Diceros bicornis minor: one gene and its partner. The main gene of each other region encodes a partner of the protein of the gene in region 2 in a complex. Links are inferred from orthologs where the notes say so. Each region holds a gene or a part of one and is shown on either strand. Other genes may lie near its edges. The genes, in order: histone H1.4 and KDM4A.

The links.
Region 1: the proteins of KDM4A (region 2) and histone H1.4 are in contact, whole or in part, in a crystal structure (PDB 6H8P), measured with the Homo sapiens proteins. The link is inferred for Diceros bicornis minor from reciprocal best matches to the Homo sapiens genes KDM4A and H1-4. Residues at the interface, in NP_055478.2 of Homo sapiens: Ile71, Asn86, Ala134, Asp135, Asn137, Thr167, Ile168, Glu169, Gly170, Val171, Tyr175, Tyr177, Glu190, Asp191, Ser196, His240, Lys241, Ser288, Thr289, Asn290, Asp311, Met312, Val313; in NP_005312.1 of Homo sapiens: Ala24, Arg25, Lys26, Ser27, Ala28, Gly29.

What each region holds. Positions count from the first base shown.
Region 1 is NC_080753.1:42,163,230-42,172,144, forward strand, and holds histone H1.4, read right to left. Parts: upstream 2,771-8,915; 5' UTR 2,722-2,770; coding exon 2,062-2,721; 3' UTR 1,979-2,061; downstream 1-1,978. Other genes in the region: histone H2B type 1-M, read right to left, coding at 484-864. UniProt on the Homo sapiens protein: Histone H1 protein binds to linker DNA between nucleosomes forming the macromolecular structure known as the chromatin fiber. Histones H1 are necessary for the condensation of nucleosome chains into higher-order structured fibers.
Region 2 is NC_080752.1:6,560,904-6,572,106, reverse strand, and holds the start of KDM4A (lysine-specific demethylase 4A), read right to left. Parts: upstream 4,616-11,203; 5' UTR 4,524-4,615; exon of another isoform or gene 4,493-4,523; intron 4,252-4,492; exon of another isoform or gene 4,229-4,251; intron 2,230-4,228; 5' UTR 2,192-2,229; coding exon 2,054-2,191; intron 1,090-2,053; coding exon 914-1,089; intron 1-913. UniProt on the Homo sapiens protein: Histone demethylase that specifically demethylates 'Lys-9' and 'Lys-36' residues of histone H3, thereby playing a central role in histone code. Does not demethylate histone H3 'Lys-4', H3 'Lys-27' nor H4 'Lys-20'.

The DNA of each region.
Region 1 (8,915 bases), on a different chromosome or scaffold from region 2:
TCTTTTTTCAGTAATACACATCTGTATGTTAAGAAAGAAAGAAGAAAAGAAATTCTGAGCAGAATAAAGTTATCAGAAAATGCTCTTTCGTGCTCTGGATGAGCAGTCATCGCCAAGTCCCGGATCAACATCAGGATCAGCTTGGAGACCTACACACGGAAACGAAAGCTGTACACTTGAAATGGCATTTCCAGTTCAAATTACTTATCTAGTTATGCGACAGTAAATGATGAATAGCTTTATGGAATTCTATTTGCCCATAATGAGCGCGCAATTTATGTTTTGTTATTGTCTAGGTACCCTACAAGTATTTCCTACGCAGCTGTAATACAGCATTCAAAAACGGTAGCATAGGTTTAAATTTGGTATGAGAAATCCGAGAATAGCCTTTGGAATAAAAGGATTACAACTCACTTGTTGAAAGCATGCGTGGCTCTTAAAAGAGCCTTTGGGGTTAGATGTAAAGACGCTTACTTGACAAGTTTACTTGGAGCTGGTGTACTTGGTGACGGCCTTGGTGCCCTCGGACACGGCGTGCTTGGCCAGCTCCCCAGGCAGCAGCAGGCGCACGGCCGTCTGGATCTCCCTGGACGTGATGGTCGAGCGCTTGTTGTAATGCGCCAGGCGCGACGCCTCGCCCGCGATGCGCTCGAAGATGTCGTTGACGAACGAGTTCATGATGCCCATGGCCTTGGACGAGATGCCGGTGTCGGGGTGAACCTGCTTCAGCACCTTGTACACGTACACGGAGTAGCTCTCCTTGCGGCTGCGCTTGCGCTTCTTGCCGTCTTTCTTCTGCGCCTTGGTCACCGCCTTCTTGGAGCCCTTTTTCGGGGCTGGAGCAGACTTGGTAGGTTCAGGCATTGTAACGTTAAAAAATCACAACACTATCGCTAACACCTGGGAAAATAGTCACCCCCAGCGAGGCCACATTTATTTATAGATGCGGTATTCAAATTAGGTTAGTAAGATTTCGCTCATGATTGGATTAATTTTAGTGTCGTCACAAATACGAATGTAAATGATAGTTGCACGTCTACCTTTTCATTGGCTATTTGGTTACTTTGCTTCGACCCAATCAGAAGGCCTATACTAGGCTACCCAAAGCTACTATAAATGGCCTCTTCAAGCGACGGGGCTGTACATCTCGAAGAGATGGAACTTTTATTTCGAAGAGGCCAGTTTTAGGTTTGTGAGTGGAAGCAACTCCGTGCTCGCCAGAATAACTTTGTGCATTGGGTCCGGGCCCCACGCCAGTGACACCTAGTGGCTGTGCTGATGTCCTAGCTGCTAGAGCTGGTGGGCCAGCGGTTGTTGAGTAGCTCATTATCCCCGCAGCAGCTAACCAAATCCCAACCACTAGAAGCTCAGCAATAACGCTGGACTGCGTGACCCTTTCAAGTTTGCATTCCCTTATCTTTCTCTACCAAAAACCCTGCGAACTTGTTTTACCATAAACCATTATGGTTAAAATATTCGGGAACGTCTTCGCCCAAATCTGCCAATTTTACCTTTTGGTTTGTTCTGAACGCAAGTGTCCCATACAACGGTAAATCTTTAACGCAATAGGTAAATGCTGAGTGCATCTGATAATTTTGGGTGAAACATTACAATCTCCCAACACCTACATAACATAGGTCCTGCAACAACACTTGAAATATCACTTTCGCCCCCAAATCTGTGGTCTTTCATATGGCATCCTAGGTGGGGGTCAGGGGTGGGTGTTACGAGCTACCTACTTACAACCGGCGTACTCCTAATATTTGCAGAATTTTCTCTCCGAGCTCTGGAGACAATGGACAGGTACTCAAACCCGGCACCCCTATCCCGCTCAGGCCTCAGTCAGCAGTTCTCCGAGGACACAGGCGTGTTCAACCGGAGGACGATATTACTCACTACTGCAACCCATACCACATCCCTGGGGGCCCGCCCCGTGCTTCAGGGCTTACAGCCACGCCCCCTTTAAAAAGTGCCACAGCTCTTTATGTGATATCTGTGGGTGGCTCTGAAAAGAGCCTTTGGGTTGTGTTGAGCTCACAAGCAGTTGGCCAAGGAAACTTCTTACTTTTTCTTGGCTGCCGCCTTCTTTGGCTTGGCTGCCTTCGGTTTGGCGGTCTTTGGTTTAGCCGCCTTGGGTTTCACCGCTTTGGCCTTCGCTGGGCTTTTGGGCGCCTTCTTGGGCCTGGCTGCTTTAGCCTTTTTGGGGCTCTTTGCCTTTTTGGCTCCCGCAGCCGCAGCAGGCTTCTTCGCCTTCTTTGGGGTCTTTTTAGCGCTCTTCTTTGGGGTGGCCGCCCCCGTGGTCTTCTTGGGCTTCTTAGCCGCTCCCGCAGGCTTCTTGGGCTTGGCCGCGCCCGCCTTCTTGGCCTTGGGCTTAGCTTCGCCAGTGGCTGCCTTCTTGTTGAGCTTAAAAGAACCCGACGCACCAGTGCCCTTGGTCTGCACCAGCGTGCCCTTGCTCACCAGGCTCTTCAGACCCAACTTGATGCGACTGTTGTTCTTCTCCACGTCGTAACCAGCGGCCGCCAGCGCCTTCTTGAGCGCAGCCAGGGACACGCCACTGCGCTCTTTAGAGGCAGCGACAGCCTTGGTGATGAGCTCGGACACTGGGGGTCCCGACGCTTTGCGCTTCCCGGCACCTGCCGCCTTGCGGGCTTTTTTCTTCACTGGCGTTTTTTCGGCAGGGGCCGGAGCAGCGGGCGCGGCGGGCGCAGTCTCAGACATATTGAAGGCGGGTTTGGAGAGAGCAATTCGAGCCGGAAGCAGAGACACTGGCCGGGACTCGGGCCGCGGCGCTGCGCCCGCCCGTTTATATAGGGCGGAGCTGCGCCGTGATTGGTGCGCTGTCCAGCCCGCCTAGCTGGCAGCCGCAGAGTGTCCTCTCGGATCCCGAGTTGTGTTTGTTACACCTCAAAAAATGTCAAAAATATCAAAATTCTCTACACCGAATTGCCTGATTTTTCTCAAAAAATGATCCCCGAAGCCTCAGGCTTCACGCAGGTCTCAAATTATGAGGAAAGCACAAAACCTTATGCCAAAAACCAGCAATATTTCTCGCCGTCCTCGCCAAATTTCAACTGAGAGAAACAAAACTTTCTATTTTCTTCGCAAATTATAAATCGACCTTTGACTGTGGAGTTTTCTGACCTCTCAAATATGATTCTGCAAGTTGTTAGCTTCTTATATGTCCAAAAACCATGCCACTGGCATTAAGATTTTTATTACAAATCTGCGCTTAAGTGAGGGAAGTAACACAGGCTCCTCGGAGAGTCCTGCCTATTGAGCCGAGGGCATTTGAGTTCATCAAACTGGTTTAGTTTAATGCCAAACAAATTATTGCCCATGTGGGGTTAAATTTTAGACCCCTGGGACATCAACCTATACAGCCATGGTTTGTTTCTGTCTGCTGCATCTGGGATTTTTAACAATTCCTTAGGATAATTCTTTTCCTTTCTGCTCCCAAGGGTTGGGGGCGGGGCTGTTGCTTCTCTTCCTCTGGACAACTGCTTCATGAGTTTAGATAACTTGAATTCAGGATATCTGGGAAGGAAGGGGAGTCCAACACATAGGGTACAAGATGGAAAAAGATTAATTTTCAAATAACACGCAGATGATGTCCATAAAGTCACTGGAAGTGGAGGTGCTCTTTGAAGAATTTGTCTGCAGTCTTGCTGAATTCTTTCGATATGTGTTTCAGGATCAGATTGTAATATACTAGCTAGAATTGAAATTCAAGCATCGATAGTAAAGGGAAATAAATGAGAAGTGTAGATTATAACATACCTATTTCCATTACTAGAGAACCCCAGACCCTGTTATTACTGAATAGCTGATGAATGACTAGTCTACACACCAAATATGGCTTCAATCATGAAGATTATGGCTCTATGCTTCCCGGAGCTCCATAAAAAAGAAAATGAGTTACATGTATGATTGAATGACAAGTTCAAATTTCCATCTCAGAAGCAGAGCTTTGATGGACTATCCAAGTTAAGTTATTGCCCTCTGAAGACATCCTTTGCAAGGTCTCTGAACTAATGGATTTGTTTAGGCAGTTACCCAATCAACAAAGAGTACATCTTGGCAATGCAAACCCAACTAAAAGAACTATTCCTGGAAAATGGTCTGGATAGAATTGTCTTTAAAAACTGCAAGGCATGTACTTGACAGACAAAATAAAATTTTGGTCAGTGCTATAAGGTGATATGATACTATTCTGCAAGTGTGGCTGGTTGTAACATAGCATTGAACATCACATCAATTTTTAGTTCCATTGCCCCAAATCTTCTCTACACTCAACAGACCGACCCTACTACTACTGAAATAAAAGAGAATACAGATCTTTGATACATGTTGCAATGTTTCAAAATAGTCTTATTTAAATTAATGTTGAATCCAGTATAAAAGTGATGTAGATTATCAATATATTTTAAGCCCTAACATGTAAACATTTTCAATGTAATTCTTGCATGCTAGTGAAAAATAAATGTGCCCTTTGGTATAGTTTAAAATAAAAAGGGAGGGGATAAGGTTCCAAAACCAACCAATTGATAGTTACTAGGGAAACCGATTTTACGGTCAATTGATCCCAGAACAGTGGGGTTATACTCACTTTCAGTAACAAACAAACCACTCTCACAGCTAGCTGAAATTTGCACAACACATTGAAGTTTTCTCTCAAATGCCTTACTCTATTCTATGTGTTCCTTACTACTTCTGACTTGGAGGGACGTAAACTCTCCAAATCCTGTGATCTTTCAACTCACCTATGTTCATCTCCCATGGTACAGTGTGTTTTCTTATAAATGTGACAAATTTGAAGATATTGAGGATCTTCCACTGTTAAATCAAGCATTTATTTGAAATAAGAGTAACACCAAAGGACTCCATTTTCCTGTTGATCTGTCAGCTATATCAGAACTGTGTGTGTGTGTGCTGTGCATGTGTTTTAAATATAGATTCCAAAGTCTTGTTCTAGATGCTTCTGAACCAACGACTTCAGTGGGTCTCAGAATCTGAATATTTCACAACTTCTTCAGATTCTCCTGATGCCCAGCCAAGTGTGGGAACCACTGCCACGCTCACTGGAGGTGATTGACAGGTCAAAAGTGTTTCCTGTGATCTGAGTGTTCCTGTGGATTTCTGGACTTGCCTTCAAGATCTTCGAAAAGAAGTCCGTGCTGGATATGACCACAGGTTGGGAGGATGGGGGCAGCAGGAATCCAATCCTGACTTCCTTGGATTAACACCTGACTGGGCACTAGAGTGGGTTCAAGAAAGAGAAGGGAGAGTAACGGTAAAGGATCTTCTGCTTCATTATTTTCCATCCACAGAGGGTGGTCTGGACTGATTGCCTGTGGACTACCAGAATTCCCTAGTACAGCATCTCCACTTCTTGTCCCATTTTATCATTCTTAATAAAAGTTACCCTTTCCATTTATTGACTACTGTACTGTGTGCTACCTGCATTCTTAGTCAATGCAACAATCCGCGCTATAGATAGCACCCCCATTTTACATAGGAGGAAATGGGCTTTCACGGGTTGAGAAATTCTCCTGAGAAGACTGCTGGTAAGAGGTGCATCCTGGGTTCCAGCTCACATCTGTCTGATTTCAAAGCATGTGCTCTTAAAAACAGTGTTTTTCATACTACAGGTCTGAATGATCATTAAAGGTGGTGAAATCAATATAGTAGCACAAGGCTAAAATGTTTCTTTGTTAACAAACTAGAGTAGAATATAAAATACCAGAGCTCAATGCATGTAGTTTCAGTTATCTACACAGCTCCTTGACTGTGTGCTGGATGGCCCTGTGTAAAATGTATTTGTCTCTGTACAGGCTAATGTGGCCAGAGTGGAGGAGTCTTCCTCATGCAATTTCTTGAACTTTTGTAGTTATAAAATATTCTTAAGTTTATTAATCTCTAATGAGCTAAAAAAATAATTTCCTATTTTTGACTTTTTTTTTAAGCCTCTATAGAACTCCGACTGATGGAAAGTAGGGAGCACTCTGTAAACATTTCTATTTTGGACCTGATAGCAACTAAGCTAAGAGGAACAATGTGATTTGTAGAAAAACTGAAAGAAAAGAGAGGCTTGTACTTGGTTCCTTCTACTCCACAACTCTGGGCTCCAAGCACTTGATTCTGGACTTTGCTATTTTAATATGTTACCCTGATAGTTTTATTGAAGACAGAGCTTGGGGAAAAGGTGTTTTTTGCTAGACAAATTAGCACCTCCCCAGCTCCCTCATACGAGGTGTGCTATATAAGCACAGACACAGCGACACTCTGAAGACGACCTGCAGAACTCTATATGTTGAGACAAACTTCCCTTTGTGGACTCTTAATAGGCACTGTATCTTGGCTTTTGATGTAGAGCATTTCTGGAAAACTTTTCTTAAAAAGGGCTATATATTTTCTTAGAAATTGTTATTTCTTTTGTTTAATTTTACAATGAACACTGTGGGTTGCAGGGTTGCATAGCCCAGGTTATTCATTGTAGCGTTGTTTGGAACTGTAAAATATTGGAAAGCATTTTAATATCCACATGTAAGAGAGGGGCTGAATAAACTAGGGCACATATGCATAGTTGAGTAATATCAGCTACAACAATGAATGAAGAAGATCTCTATGAACTAATCAGGAGCAAACTCAGGGATATAGGATTAAGTGAAAAAGCCAAGTGCAAAAGACTATCCATAGTATGATATCCTCCGTAAGTGAAAGAAGAGTATATAAGAAAACACATTTTTCTGCTCATTTGTGCAAAAGATATACCGGAAGGATAAACCAAAAATGAACGAGATTGGTTATCCATGGGGGGTAGGTTAGAAAGGAATGGAAAGAAGGCAGGAATGGGAGCAGAGTAGCAGGGATGAGGAGGGAGTGACAGTTTCCTGAGTCTGTCTTTTTGTATAACTCTGACTCTTACAACTACAGTAATGTTTCACATACTAGCAAAATAAACAAACTATTAAAAGCAATACTTATCGGGGGCTGGTCCAGTGGCGAAGTGGTTAAGTTCTTGTGCTCCACTTCTGCAGCCCAGGGTTCGAGGGTTCAGATCCTTGGCGCAGAGATACACACCACACATCAAGCCATGCTGCGGTGGCATCCCACATACAAAATAGAGGAAGACTATCACAGGTGTTAGCTCAGGGACAATCTTCCTCAAGCAAAAAGAAAAGAGCGATAGGGATGGGAACATATACCCAAAATGGAATACAATCACTAATAAATTAACCAAACTGTATTAAATTAACAACAATGACACCGAAGGAATTGAATAAGATAAAAATTAACTTAAGTAACTGTGGAAGATAATATCTTGATTGGATACTGTAAGGCTAAAGGCAAAGTAACTATATATAAAGGCCATAATCTAATAAAAATATTTTTCTCTGGGATATAGATTAATAATTCTGAAACTACTTATGTATCTACTAGAATTGAACAAAGAAGTAAATATGTTGCAGAAAGTGAGATCCAGTGTTCTCACTGGTGGAAAAAGAAGTATTTGGCTAAAATGAACCTTGTGGTGCTAGATTAGAATCAGAAGTATTAATATAAGTTCAAATTGTAAAATATATCTACAATTATATAGATACAGAAACAAAGATGTGTGTGTGTATGTGTGGGTTAATTACACATATATTTCTTTTTTTTTTTTGTGAGGAAGATCAAACATGAGCTAACATCCATGCTAATCCTCCTCTTTTTGCTGAGGAAGACCAACTCTGAGCTAACATCTATTGCCAATCCTCCTCCTTTTTCCTTTCCCCCAAAGCCCCAGTAGATAGTTGTATGTCATAGTTGCACATCCTTCTAGCTGCTGTATATGGGACGCGGCCTCAGCAGGGCTGGACAAGCAGTGTGTCGGTGGGCGCCTGGGATCCGAACCCGGCTGCGAGTAGCAGAGCCCGCGCACTTAACCGCTAAGCCACGGGGCCGGCACCTACACATATATTTCTTTGCTCGCTCAGCTGCAAGGACTTACAAGCAGTGACATCCCAGGAGCAATTAGCACATCCCACACACAATCTTTGGTTTTTAACCATCATTCTCCAATAAAAGGAACTAGGGCTCCTTGGAGAGGTAGTTGATTCCAAGGCTGGAGCAGGGAAAATATCAGATGGGCCTGGAACATCTTGTGGTGCCAGAAAATAAAACATTTTAAAAAAGATGGAAACGTTGAAAAAACATGCAACCCAGTCTCAAGGAGCTACCAGTAGCCAAAGCTGGAACCATTTGGCAACAAAATAAAAAAAACTGATAATACAGCATTTAACTCATAGAATAAAATATATATCCATAAATAAATACATAAGGAGAAAGGACAACTCTTTCTTATTGCAGATAAAATTCATAGATGGATGCTAAAATTATTGGGTGAAATTTTAAGGAGAAGCAGGATTCACATAGTCTCAAGGTATCCTCCCCAAGATATCTATCAACTACAAAGGGAAAGGTAATAACTTTACAGTGGAGAAACCCAGCAGACCCCTCCTTAACTAAGTGAGCAAGGTAACATCACAAGTAATGAGATATAACATCATGAACTCCTTGCACTTAAAAGGACACTTCATCATTTTTGTCATATTTTCTGGCAAAAATACATAAACTCATTCCAACAGTGAGAAAACATCAGACAAATTCAAATGGAGGAATATTGTTTAACTGATCAGTACTTTTCAAAAGTGTGAAGGTCATGAAAGACCAGGACAGACTAAAGAACTATTATAGACTGAAAGAGATTAAGGAGAAACAATAAGTAAATGCAATGTGGGATCCTGAATAAGATCCTGGACTAGAAAAAAGACATTGGTGGAAAAATTTGTAAAATTTGAATAAAGTTTAAAGTTTAGTTAATAATATTGTACCAATGTCCATTTCTTGTTCTTTATAATTGTATAATGGTT
Region 2 (11,203 bases):
AAATAAAGAGTGAGATCTGACGTGAGAGCAAGAGATGATAAAGTGCATGAAGTCACGCCCCCAAAAGTGAAGACTGACAAGCTCAAGATCCAGCTCCGGGCTCATTCACAGGGAAGACACAGCATGTCTGACTGGCTGAAATCAAGACGTGTGTAGATCAAAACGGCTCAGAAAAAACAGCAAGGGAAAAGGGAGGAATCCCTTGTGGAAACTCAGAATTAAGGAGTAACATGGCAAGGGAGAAGATCCAAGGAAGAGGATTAAGAAGGAGCAGTCAGAGCCGATGAGGGAAACATGAAATTCACGCTCTGTAAACCTGAAGTCAAATGAGAGCTGAGTATTAAAAACAGCAGAGAAAGACAACTGAAAACAGCAGGCCTAAACAAAAGACACTTCTAACAGAGACAAGCAGGTACAGATGAGGAAGAATGGAGTGATAGAGAACAGCAACCAGCTTGGTAGTTTATCCACACTTTGTTAATGTCAAAAAGGAAACGAGATAGCAGCTTGATGGGTAGTGAGGAGTCTGAGGATGATTAAAGACAGAAGGAAGAGATTAATGTAAACTGCTAAGGCCACTTTCTGAGAAGCAAGTGGTATCAATACATCTGGCGAAAGCTCCTTTTGAACCAACTCCAACCTTCTCCTTTGCAACTTATCAGAGTCAGAAAATGATTCTACTTTTGATGGAAAAACAATGGGATTACTTTACGTAAGAATATGGACAAATTTAGACTGTGACACAGTACTGAGAGGAGGAAATGAAAATAGAAAGGTCAGAAAGGGAGACAGAAGATAGAGGTGGGAAACTGTTCTTCAGTAGGACAGTGTGGTTTTGGAGACAGCTGTGAGGACGAGACGTTAGGTACTAGACGCTGTGACAGGTAAAAGGAAGAAACGTGTTTCCACTCACTTATCACTGTTGGCTATCTTGCGGAACTCTCGAACAGTCATGGCTTTCTTCTGTATGTTGTACTGAGTAAAGAGGCCAGACTGCCCAGTCACCAGCTGTTGGATGGGAGCAGGAATGACCAGATCATCAATATCATCATAGGACACTCGTGGCTTCCACTCCTTTGGAGGAACAACCTGTAAGAAACACAAGAAACAAAGAGACAGATCAGAAACGGCAAGCCAGGCAGCGTGCAGAAGCGTGTAGGCTGCTATCCAACCTCACAGTCAATTTTACCCAAGTTACTTGATTGAACCACGTTCACCCAGACTCAGCAAGTCACACTGATCCAGTTCTGCCACCGACTAGCTGCCTAGTTGCAATGACCTCAGGTGAGTAAGACTTGTTCTCAGCCTCGTATCTTATCTGGGCATCAAGAGAGGAGGCTGAAGAGATGATTCTCTCGCAATCTAACAGAAAGTCCACATGGGAAGCCAAATTACTATCAGAGTGCTGGCTGAGACCGAAAGGAAAACAAGAGAAGCTGGATGGCATAAGCACTTGGTCACAGATGAAAATACTAAAGCCGGGCAGGCCCGGTGGCGGAGCGGTTAAGTGCGCGGGCTCTGCTTCTGTGGCTCAGGGTTCGCAGGTTCGGATCCTGGGAGCGCACTGACGCTCTGCTTGTCAGGCCATGCTGTGGCGGCGTCCCATATAAAGTAGAGGAAGATGGGCACGGATGTTAGCCCAGGGCCAGTCTTCCTCAGCAAAAAGAAAAATAAGAAAATAAAAAGAGAATAAAATCACAACTCTTGTACAAATAGTAAAAAAAAAAAATCAACATGTGTAAAAGATTTAAAAAACAAAACAAAACACTACAGCCTCCATCCCCACCACGAGGATGGAAGCACCACAGCAGCTGACCCTGAGACACTGGCTCTTCACCTTCCTTTTCAAGATCCCAAGCAGTTCTCCTCCCACCTAAAAGAGAGATGCTTCAGATGTTAACGAAAGGAATTAACTTGCAAATAGGACAGCATACACTTAACTGATCACCCTGCCTGGCTTTCAGTAAGGTTCAGTGCTTCCACCCTTCATTTAGGAAAAGTCTTACTGCTACCCTCTGTCACAACAGCCCTGCTGAATGGTCCCACCCCTCACCTTGGCAAGCCCAGCCCGATGAGCTCCTTGAGATTCAATGTAGGCAATGTATCGGCTGAAATTCCGGAACTCCTCCATGGTTGGATAAAAAGTCATTATTCGAGCACTAGGATTCAGGGTTTCAGATTCAGAAGCCATTTTCCCTCTTTTTTGAGGTCACTTGGTCAGAGAGCAATCTGAAGAAACACATTAAGAACATAAAATTATATAAAATGTAACTAAAGCTAAATGCTGGGAATGTCAGTGCTGAAAATAGTAGATGATGTAGAAGTTCTGAAGCAGCATTAAATCCTCATACCTGGAATCTGCCTCTAGATAAGTTATTTAAATGAACAAGAAATACAGATAGGAAAGGCTCTGTTCAAAAGAACCTGATGTACCAAAATTTCATGTATTCATATCTCATTTAATTGGAGACACTGTTTCAGCTAACAAAGGGAAACTAATTATTTGGTTGTTGGCCCTATCTAACAATACAGCTGCCCTGCCCATATTTTACCCTTATCTTTTCAAGTTGCTCCCTATTCACACCTTGCTAATTGCTTCTCAGAGTATTAAACATAATATACTACAACCAGATTTTACAAAGCAACCTACGGACTCCCTTCTAGGGCACAGCTTTAAAACAGGATTCTAGACTCCCTAAGAAAAGTTACTTGGCTACAAGATTACACAGTTTAAGGGTTAATAAGTACTCTGATATTAGTAGCATGAGCCATGATTTTTAAAACCCTCAAGCGAAATTGTTCTCACGGCTAAACCAAAAGGCAGTCTCAGCAGTACCTCATGAAGTCAAGCTACAGACTAATTCAATGGCACTGTACCCAGAACTCCAAGGAGAAAACTGAAACAGGCAATAAACTGGCAATCCAGGGCAAACTTCCTGACTGACTGGAGAGGGTGAAGTATAAACACTTTGTTTTTAGAAGAGGCCTTCAGCTAAATGGGTGCATCCCCATTGTCTGGTAACACAATAGACTATTTCAACTGAATAAGAACCAAGCATACCAGCTAAAAGGAGCCAGTTTAGAAGCAAAAACCGTATGTCCTTTCCTCTACTGAATTCCCCCAATCTGGGCCCCAAAGCCAGGCCAGTTCACCTCCAAGAGTCCCCTTGAGAGCTGGAGAGCTCAGAAAAGAGAAAACTGCCTCCAACCTACCAGCAATCTAGTAGCAGACTGGGAAGGCAGCATGGAGCAAAACTGTATAAGGTAGGAAAGAAAACAGCACCACTATCCGCATCTCTCAGGCTTCCACTTCACCGAAAATAGCATGTTCCTGGCCACGCGCTTTTCATGCACCTTGCCAAAACTTTGCATGGCAGGTATACTGTTATCTCTGCTTTACATACCAGGAAATTTGCCCACAGTCGTGTAATGCACTACTAGTGCTCCTTCCATTACACTACGCTGCCGACATCATAATCTCCACCTAGACTAAATCCTTTGGAAGGGCAGACTCAAGCGTGAGGGAATTGGAAGCTTATTCAATTTTGAGTACCCTCTTTTTTAAAAAAAAGAATACAAAATATCTTATTTTTCTAAATTTTACAAAAACATATAATCAGATGAACACAGTGGGAGTGTTCACCTGGGCCTTGGAAGCCCCTAATTGGGCTTCATTCGCCTCTGGCCTTATTCATTTTTGTATGCCTAGAACCTAGAACAATGCCTGGCACAAAGTAGGCACTCAGTAACTGGTGAGTAACTGATTTCCTCGTCCTCACCTCGGTTGCTCATTCCCTTTCTTCAACCCTAGGATTCCCTTCCCCCAATCTACTCCCTGGGGAAACCTCCTGTTCCCGGACACCTTCCTTCCCCCATCCAGCAACAAAGCCTAGTGGTTTAAGACCACGGGCTCCGGAGTCAAAACAACTCTGAATACATACCCGGTCTCTGCCATTTATTAGCTGTGTGACCTTGGCTGTGTGAATTGCCCGAGTCTCAGTTTCCCCACCTGTGATATGGGGATCCCGACCTCCCTGCCCTGCAGGGTTGCTGTGATTAACTCAGATGATGCAAGCGAAACGCTAAGCACTAGGCCCGGTGCTTAACCACTCAATAAATGTAGCTATTGCTAACAGCCCCTTCGAGCTCCCACCCCCGCCCCTCGCAGCCGCTCCCGCGGGTATCGCTCCCAAGGTAGCCCCCCACTCCCAAGGCCCCCGAACCTCACCGCAGACACACGGGGCTCCTCCCGGCCCCGCCGCCTAGGCGAGTGGGTCCCGGCCGCAGGAAGAAGAAAATAAGGTCCAGTACACCCGCCCCCCTTCCCGACGTCCATTGGCCATAAGAGATTGGAAAGGACCAATGTCAGGACCCATTTTAGAACCTCCTGCTCCCGTTGGCTGAGGGCCATGCCTATCACTCACGCCGAAGGCTCCTCCCATCTGCCCCTCCCCCACCGGAGCTCACGGTCACGGCCATAGCAGCAACAAACCTAAAGGATTCCAAAACTCTATGGTTCTCACCTAAACCCCACCGCCCCGGCAAGGCTAAGGCCCGGCTTCTGCTGTCACCACTAGCCGATCCTACTGCTTTTCCACCCGGCTAAGGGCGAAGCCCCGCCTCCTCGCAAGTCGGCCTCTGCGCAGCCGCATAGCGCCCACAGACTCAACCAATCCGAGGGCCGCTATCAGCCTCCAACAGCCAATGAGCACGCGCTAAAACCGCCCCGAAGTCCGGGCACATCAATCTTCTCAGCCTATGAGCGCCGGCTCGGGCTGTTGCCAGGAGGAAATGCTGTACCACTCGGGACCGCGGCCACTGAGCATCTCGGCTGAATCACGGAAGTGGCCAATCATAAGCGGGCTTCTGGCTGCCCATAGCTAATCAGGATTGAAAGAGGCGAGTGCCTGGAAATGGGATGGCCGGCGAGGGTAAGGGCGATGAGGTTATTGTACGAGGTTTCTGACGAAAGGCTGGGGCACAGTCTTTTTGGGGTGAGTAGGGCCCTGGCCTAAGGTGGAAGTGCGCTGGGGGCCCTTAGGGGCAGCTTCCCCGGTCAAGAGTTCCTGATAAGCTGACCAACTTGTCACGGTTTGCCCGGGACTGTTTCGGTTTTTAAAACTAAAAGTCCTGTGTTCTGGGAACCCCCTCACTCGCCAGCAAACCGGGACATTTCTTGAAAGGAGCTGTTCCTGAAGGGGAAGGAGCTCTGAGGGTCATTAGGACGGGTCCTAAGGGGGGATGTCCTTAGGGTCGTTAAACAGCAGTTCCTCAGTGAGCGGGGATTTAGGGGTCATTAGGAGCAGCTCTTGGGGCGGGGAGAGGAGATCCGGGGAGTCATTAGACCCACTTCTAGAGGGTGAGGGGGTTCCTAGAAGTCATTAGGAGCGGTTCCTGAGAGGTAGTGAGTCACCTTAAGGAACTCTTGGATTATCAAGGGTGATGGGGAAGGAGGCATACAGGACACTGATAGGTCAAATAGAAAAGTAGACTACCCACAACCAGTCATAAAAAGTGTACAGGGCCGGCCTGTGGCCTAGCAGTTAAGTGCGCGCGCTCCGCTGCTGGCGGCCGGGGTTCGGATCCCGGGTGCGCACCGACGCGCCGCTTCTCCGGCCATGCTGAGGCCACGTCCCACATACAGCAACTAGAAGGATGTGCAGCTATGTCATACAACTATCTACTGGGGCTTTGGGGGAAAAAATAAAAAAAAAGTGTACAAAATTACCCATAAGTGAGTAATGGTGTAGTGCACTGGAAAGAGTTATGGAGTCAGATGTCTTCAACACCAGTCGCTCCTCTGAGCCTAGGTTTTCCCATCAGTAAAATGGAAAAAATAATACTTGCCTTGCAGGAGTGTTTTGAACATGAGAGTTAATATGTGTTGGCAAAAAGGATGGTGTTACATAGAATGGTATGGACGTAGACCAATCAGGATTTATCCCCTGGGGATGGGCACATGCTCCCCCCACCCCATCCCCCAAAACCCAGCAGATTTCTGTTTCAGAAAAGACAAGGGAATGACCGTTGGGTAGACAACCATAGTCTTTCGCAATAATTATAAGGTTTTTCTCTCTTGACCTTTAGTAAGGTAATATATTAGATAATAGCTTATATTGAGTGGCTCACAAAATTGCTATGAGTCTGAAGAATTCAACTTGCAGGATATGTAATGAGGAAAACCATGCCAAATCATGCCATAGAATTCATCCACCACTGTCCTTGCTGCTGCCGCCAAGCACAAGATGCTGCAGCTCGCCTCACGACTTCACTGCCTGGACGTGGATACAGTTACCAGCACTGCTGTCAGTACCAACTACTCCAGGAATGTGATCTTGCTACATTTCCCATTGCTGCCAAAGAGGATTTTCCCAGATAGCTGCTACTTTGTATCACTGGCTTCCAATTAATGTGTACATGTGATAGTGGAGCCTAGGTCAAGTTCTCTTGATGTCCTCCCATTTCTCTGACCAGTTTATCTCAGTCACCTTTTTAAGCTCATCTTTCCTTTCCCACCCTTTAAATGTTGATGTTGAAAACAAAACTAATCTATGGTGAAAGAGGTCAAAGTTGTGGTTACCTTTGGGTAGGGGACAGGGAATGATGGGAGGCAGAGGCAGCATAAGGACTGCTTCTGGGGTGTTGGTAGTGTTCTGTTTCTTAATCTGGATGGTAGCTATTACACTGGTGTGTTCACATTGTAAAAATTCATTGAGGGGCCGGCCCCGTGGCGTAGCAGTTAAGTGCACGCACTCTGCTGCTGGCGGCCCGGGTTCAGATCCCAGGCGCGCACCAGTGCACCGCTTGTCAGGCCATGCTGTAGCGGCATCCCATATAAAGTGGAGGAAGATGGGCACAGATGTTAGCCCAGGGCCAGTCTTCCTCAGCAAAAAGAGGGGATTGGCATGGATGTTAGCTGAGGGCTGATCTTCCTTACCAAAAAAAAAAAAAAAAAAAAATTCAATGAGCATGTAAGTTGTGCATAATATTTATTGTATGTTTAAAATTAAATTACGAATTAATTTATTTTTATTTTTTGCTGAGGAAGATTAGCCCTGAGCTAACATCTGTTGCTACTCCTCCTCTTTTTGCTGAGGAAGATTGGCCCTGGGCTGACATCCGTGCCCATCTTCCTCTACTTTGTTTCTGGGTTTTTGGGGTTTTTTTGGGTTTTTTTTGGTGAGGAAGATCAGCCCTGAGCTAACATGTGTTGCCAATCCTCCTCTTTTTTTGCTGAGGAAGATTGGCCCTGGGCTAACATCTGTGCCCATCTTCCTCTACTTTATATGGGACGCCGCCACGGTCTGGCGTGACGAGCGGTGCGTCGCTGCTGTGCGTCAGTGCGTGCCTGGGATACGAACCTGGGAACCCTGGCCGGGCTGCCAAAGTGGAGCACGCTCACTTAACCGCTGGCCACCAGGCCCGCCCCTTCTTCTTCCTCTACTTTATATGTGGGATGCTGCCACAGCATAGCTTGATAAGTGGTGCATAGGTCCGCACCTGGGACCTGAACTGGTGAACCCCAGAACGCCAAAGCGGAGCGTATAAACTTAACCATTATGACACTGGGCCCGCCCCCTAATTTTAATTAAAAAAAAAAAAGGAAAAAAAAACATGTTGATGTCCTCATGGCTCTCTGTCCTTTGCCCTCTTCTTTCATTCTACAAACTCTCCTTAGGTGTTTCAGGTTTCACAACCCACTAGCAGTATGACTTGAGGGCAATTAATTTCTCTAATCCGCAGTTATCTCATAACTAAAATTGGAATAGTACTTCCCTGTTTTGGTTGTAAGAACTGAATGAGATAATGCAGGTAAAGCACTTAAAAGTTGAATTGACATGTAATGAGTGGTCAGTAACTGTTAGCTGTGTTGATGGAGGGTGATGATGGTGATGATGATGGTACTGATACAAAGCACTTCGCATAAAGCCTGAAATGAGAGCTCAATATACTTTCACTCTTAAACTTCATTCATATGCACACACTGATGACATCCATTCTATACTCCAGCACAATCTTCTCCCCGGAGTTGGATCTATAAATCCTCCTATCTCTGGATCCCTCCCCCTTCATGTCCTCCAAAGTACCTAAAACCCACATGCCCAGTAAAGAACTAATCTTTTTGCCCCACATGTGAACTCCACCTTCTAGGTTTTTCCTATCTCAATTATTGAGACAGCATCCACCCAGTCACCTAAGCCAGAAACCAGTATGCAACTACGGACTCCTTGATGCGGTCCATTACCTCACCCCAGACGGAGTTCCACAAGGTAAGTGTTTTACAAGTGCATAGGTTTGATTACATATGCATCTTCCTCCACTAGGCAAAAGTCTCTTAAGAGTATCACTTAGGTCTTATCGGTAGTATTTAGGAATGTGTTCCATTGCCAGAGATAGAAAACCCTAGCAACAGTGGCTGAAACAAATATAAGCTTATTTTTCTCATGTAATAAGAAGTCTGAAGGGGGACATTTATTGGCATTGGGTCAGTGCTCAACAAAGGCACCAAAGACACAGGCTCCTTCCATCTTTTTCCATCATGCCGCACAACCTGGGTTTGGCCCTCACATGTGCACCTCACGGTTGTAAGGTGAATGCTGCAGCCCCAGACATCATGCCCACATTCACAGGGATGAGGAGAAAAGGGACAGTATCAGCAGCATCTGTTCCTCGTATCAGACTCAGCAAAACGTCTCCCAGAATCTGCCCACCTTTTAGAGGGACTTGCTAGCAATGGCGGTAGGATTTGGACGTGAAACTCTGTCATCATGGCATCCAGTTCCTGCCATGGTCCTACCTCAAGGATTCTTCCCTGGAGCTTCCCTTTATCCAGCTCCCAGCACAACGCCTAGCACATAGTAAGCATTACATCACTAATAATAATGGCAATATTATTAGCTTAAAAAGTTAACTATATTTGAGCACTTACGATGTCCAAACACTATGCTAAGTGCTTTATATACACAAAGATTGTTGACGTTGTCATCAACATTTTTCTTTTTATAAAAACAACTTTATTGAGATATAATTTGCATACCATATAATCTGCCTATTTCAAGGGTATAATTTAATGATATTTTTAGAGGCCAGCCCCGTGGCTTAGCGATTAAGTGCGTGTGGTCCACTACTGGCGGCCCGGGTTGGGATCCCGGGCGCACACCAACGCACCGCTTCTCCAGCTATGCTGAGGCCGCATCCCACATACAGCAACTAGAAGGATGTGCAGCTATGACATACAACTATCTACTGGGGCTTTGGGGAGAAAAAGGAGGAGGATCAGCAATAGAGGTTAGCTCAGGGCCAGTCTTCCTCAGCAAAAAGAGGAGGATTGGCATGGATGTTAGCTCAGGGCTGATCTTCCTCACAAAAAAAAAAAAAAAAAAAAAGATTATTTAAAAATTGACCAAGTCAGGCAACCATCACCCAATCCGGTTTTAGAACATTTCCATCACCTCAATAAAATCTACCCCCTCAATAAGATCGCTTGTGCCCAGTTACAATCTCTCTGTCCCCACTCCCAGCCCCAGGCAACTGTTGATCTACTTTCTGTCTACACAGATCTGCCTTTTCTGGACATTTCATATAAATAGAACCATACAATATGTGGTCTTTTGTGTCTGGCTTTTGTCACTTAGCATGTTTTTTTTGTTTTGTTTTGTTTGAGATTCATCCATGTTGTAGCATGCATCAGTATTTCTTCCTTTTTAATGTTGAATAGTATCTCTTTGTAGTATTGATTGACATTTGGGTTGTTTCCACTTTTTGGCTATTATGAGTAGGGCTTCTTTTTTTTTTTAACAATTTATTTATTTATTTATTTTTCCCCCCAAAGCCCCAGTAGATAGTTGTATGTCATAGTTGCACATCCTTCTAGTTGCTGTATGTGGGACGCGGCCTCAGCATGGCCGGAGAAGCGGTGTGTCGGTGCGCGCCTGGGATCCGAACCCGGGCCGCCAGCAGCGGAGCGCGCGCACTTAACCGCTAAGCCACGGGGCCGGCCCAAGAATAGAGCTTCTATCAACATTTATGTGCAAGTCTTTGTGTGAATGTATGTTTTCATTTCTCTTGGGTAGATAATTAGGAGAGGAATTTCTGTGTCATGTCGTCAATTTATGTTTATCTTTGTAAGAAACTGCCAAACTGTTTTCCAAAGTGGCTGTACCATTTTACATTCCCATCAACAATATATGAGGGTTCCCATTTTCTCCACATCCTTGCCAACATTTGTTATTGTCTATCTTTCTGATTATAGCCATTCTAGTGGGTGTGAAGTGGTATCTCATTGAGGTTTTAACTTGCATTTCTCTAATGACTAATGATGTTGAGCATCTTTTTATATGCTTATTAGCTGTTCATATATCCTCTTTGGTGAAATATCTATTCAAATCTTTTGTGAAATTTTTTTTTTAAAGATTTTTATTTATTTATTTCCCCCAAAGCCCCAGTAGATAGTTGTATGTCATAGCTGCACATCCTTCTAGTTGCTGTATGTGGGACACGGCCTCAGCATGGCCGGAGAAGCGGTGTGTCCGTGCGCGCCCGGGATCCGAACCCGGGCCGCCAGCAGCGGAGCGCGCGCACTTAACCGCTAAGCCACGGGGCCGGCCCTGTCAATTTTTTTTTTTTTTTTTGATTTTTATTGATATTTTAATGGTTTCTAACATTGTGAAATTTTGGGTTGTACATTTTTGTTTGTCCATCACCCCATATATGACTCCCTTCACCCCTTGTGCCCACCCCCCACCCCCACTTCCCGGGTAACCACAGTCCAGTTTTCTCTGTCCATGTGTTGGTTTATATTCCACATATGAGTGAGATCATACAGTGTTTGTCTTTCTCTTTCTGGCTTATTTCACTTAACATAATACGCTCCAGGCCCATCCATGTTGTTGCAAATGGGACGATTTTGTCTTTTTTTATGGCTGAGTAGTATTCCATTGTATATATATACCACATTTTCTTAATCCAATCGTCAGTCGAGGGACACTTAGGTTGCTTCCACTTCTTGGCTATGGTGAATAATGCTGCAATGAACATAGGGGTGCATAAGCCTCTTTAGATTGTTGATTTCAGGTGCGTTGGATAGATTCCCAGTAGTGGGATGGCTGGATCAGAGGGCATCTCTATTTTTAATTCTTTGAGGAATCTCCATACCGTTTTCCATAGAGGCTGCACCAATTTGCATTCCCACCAGCTGTGTATG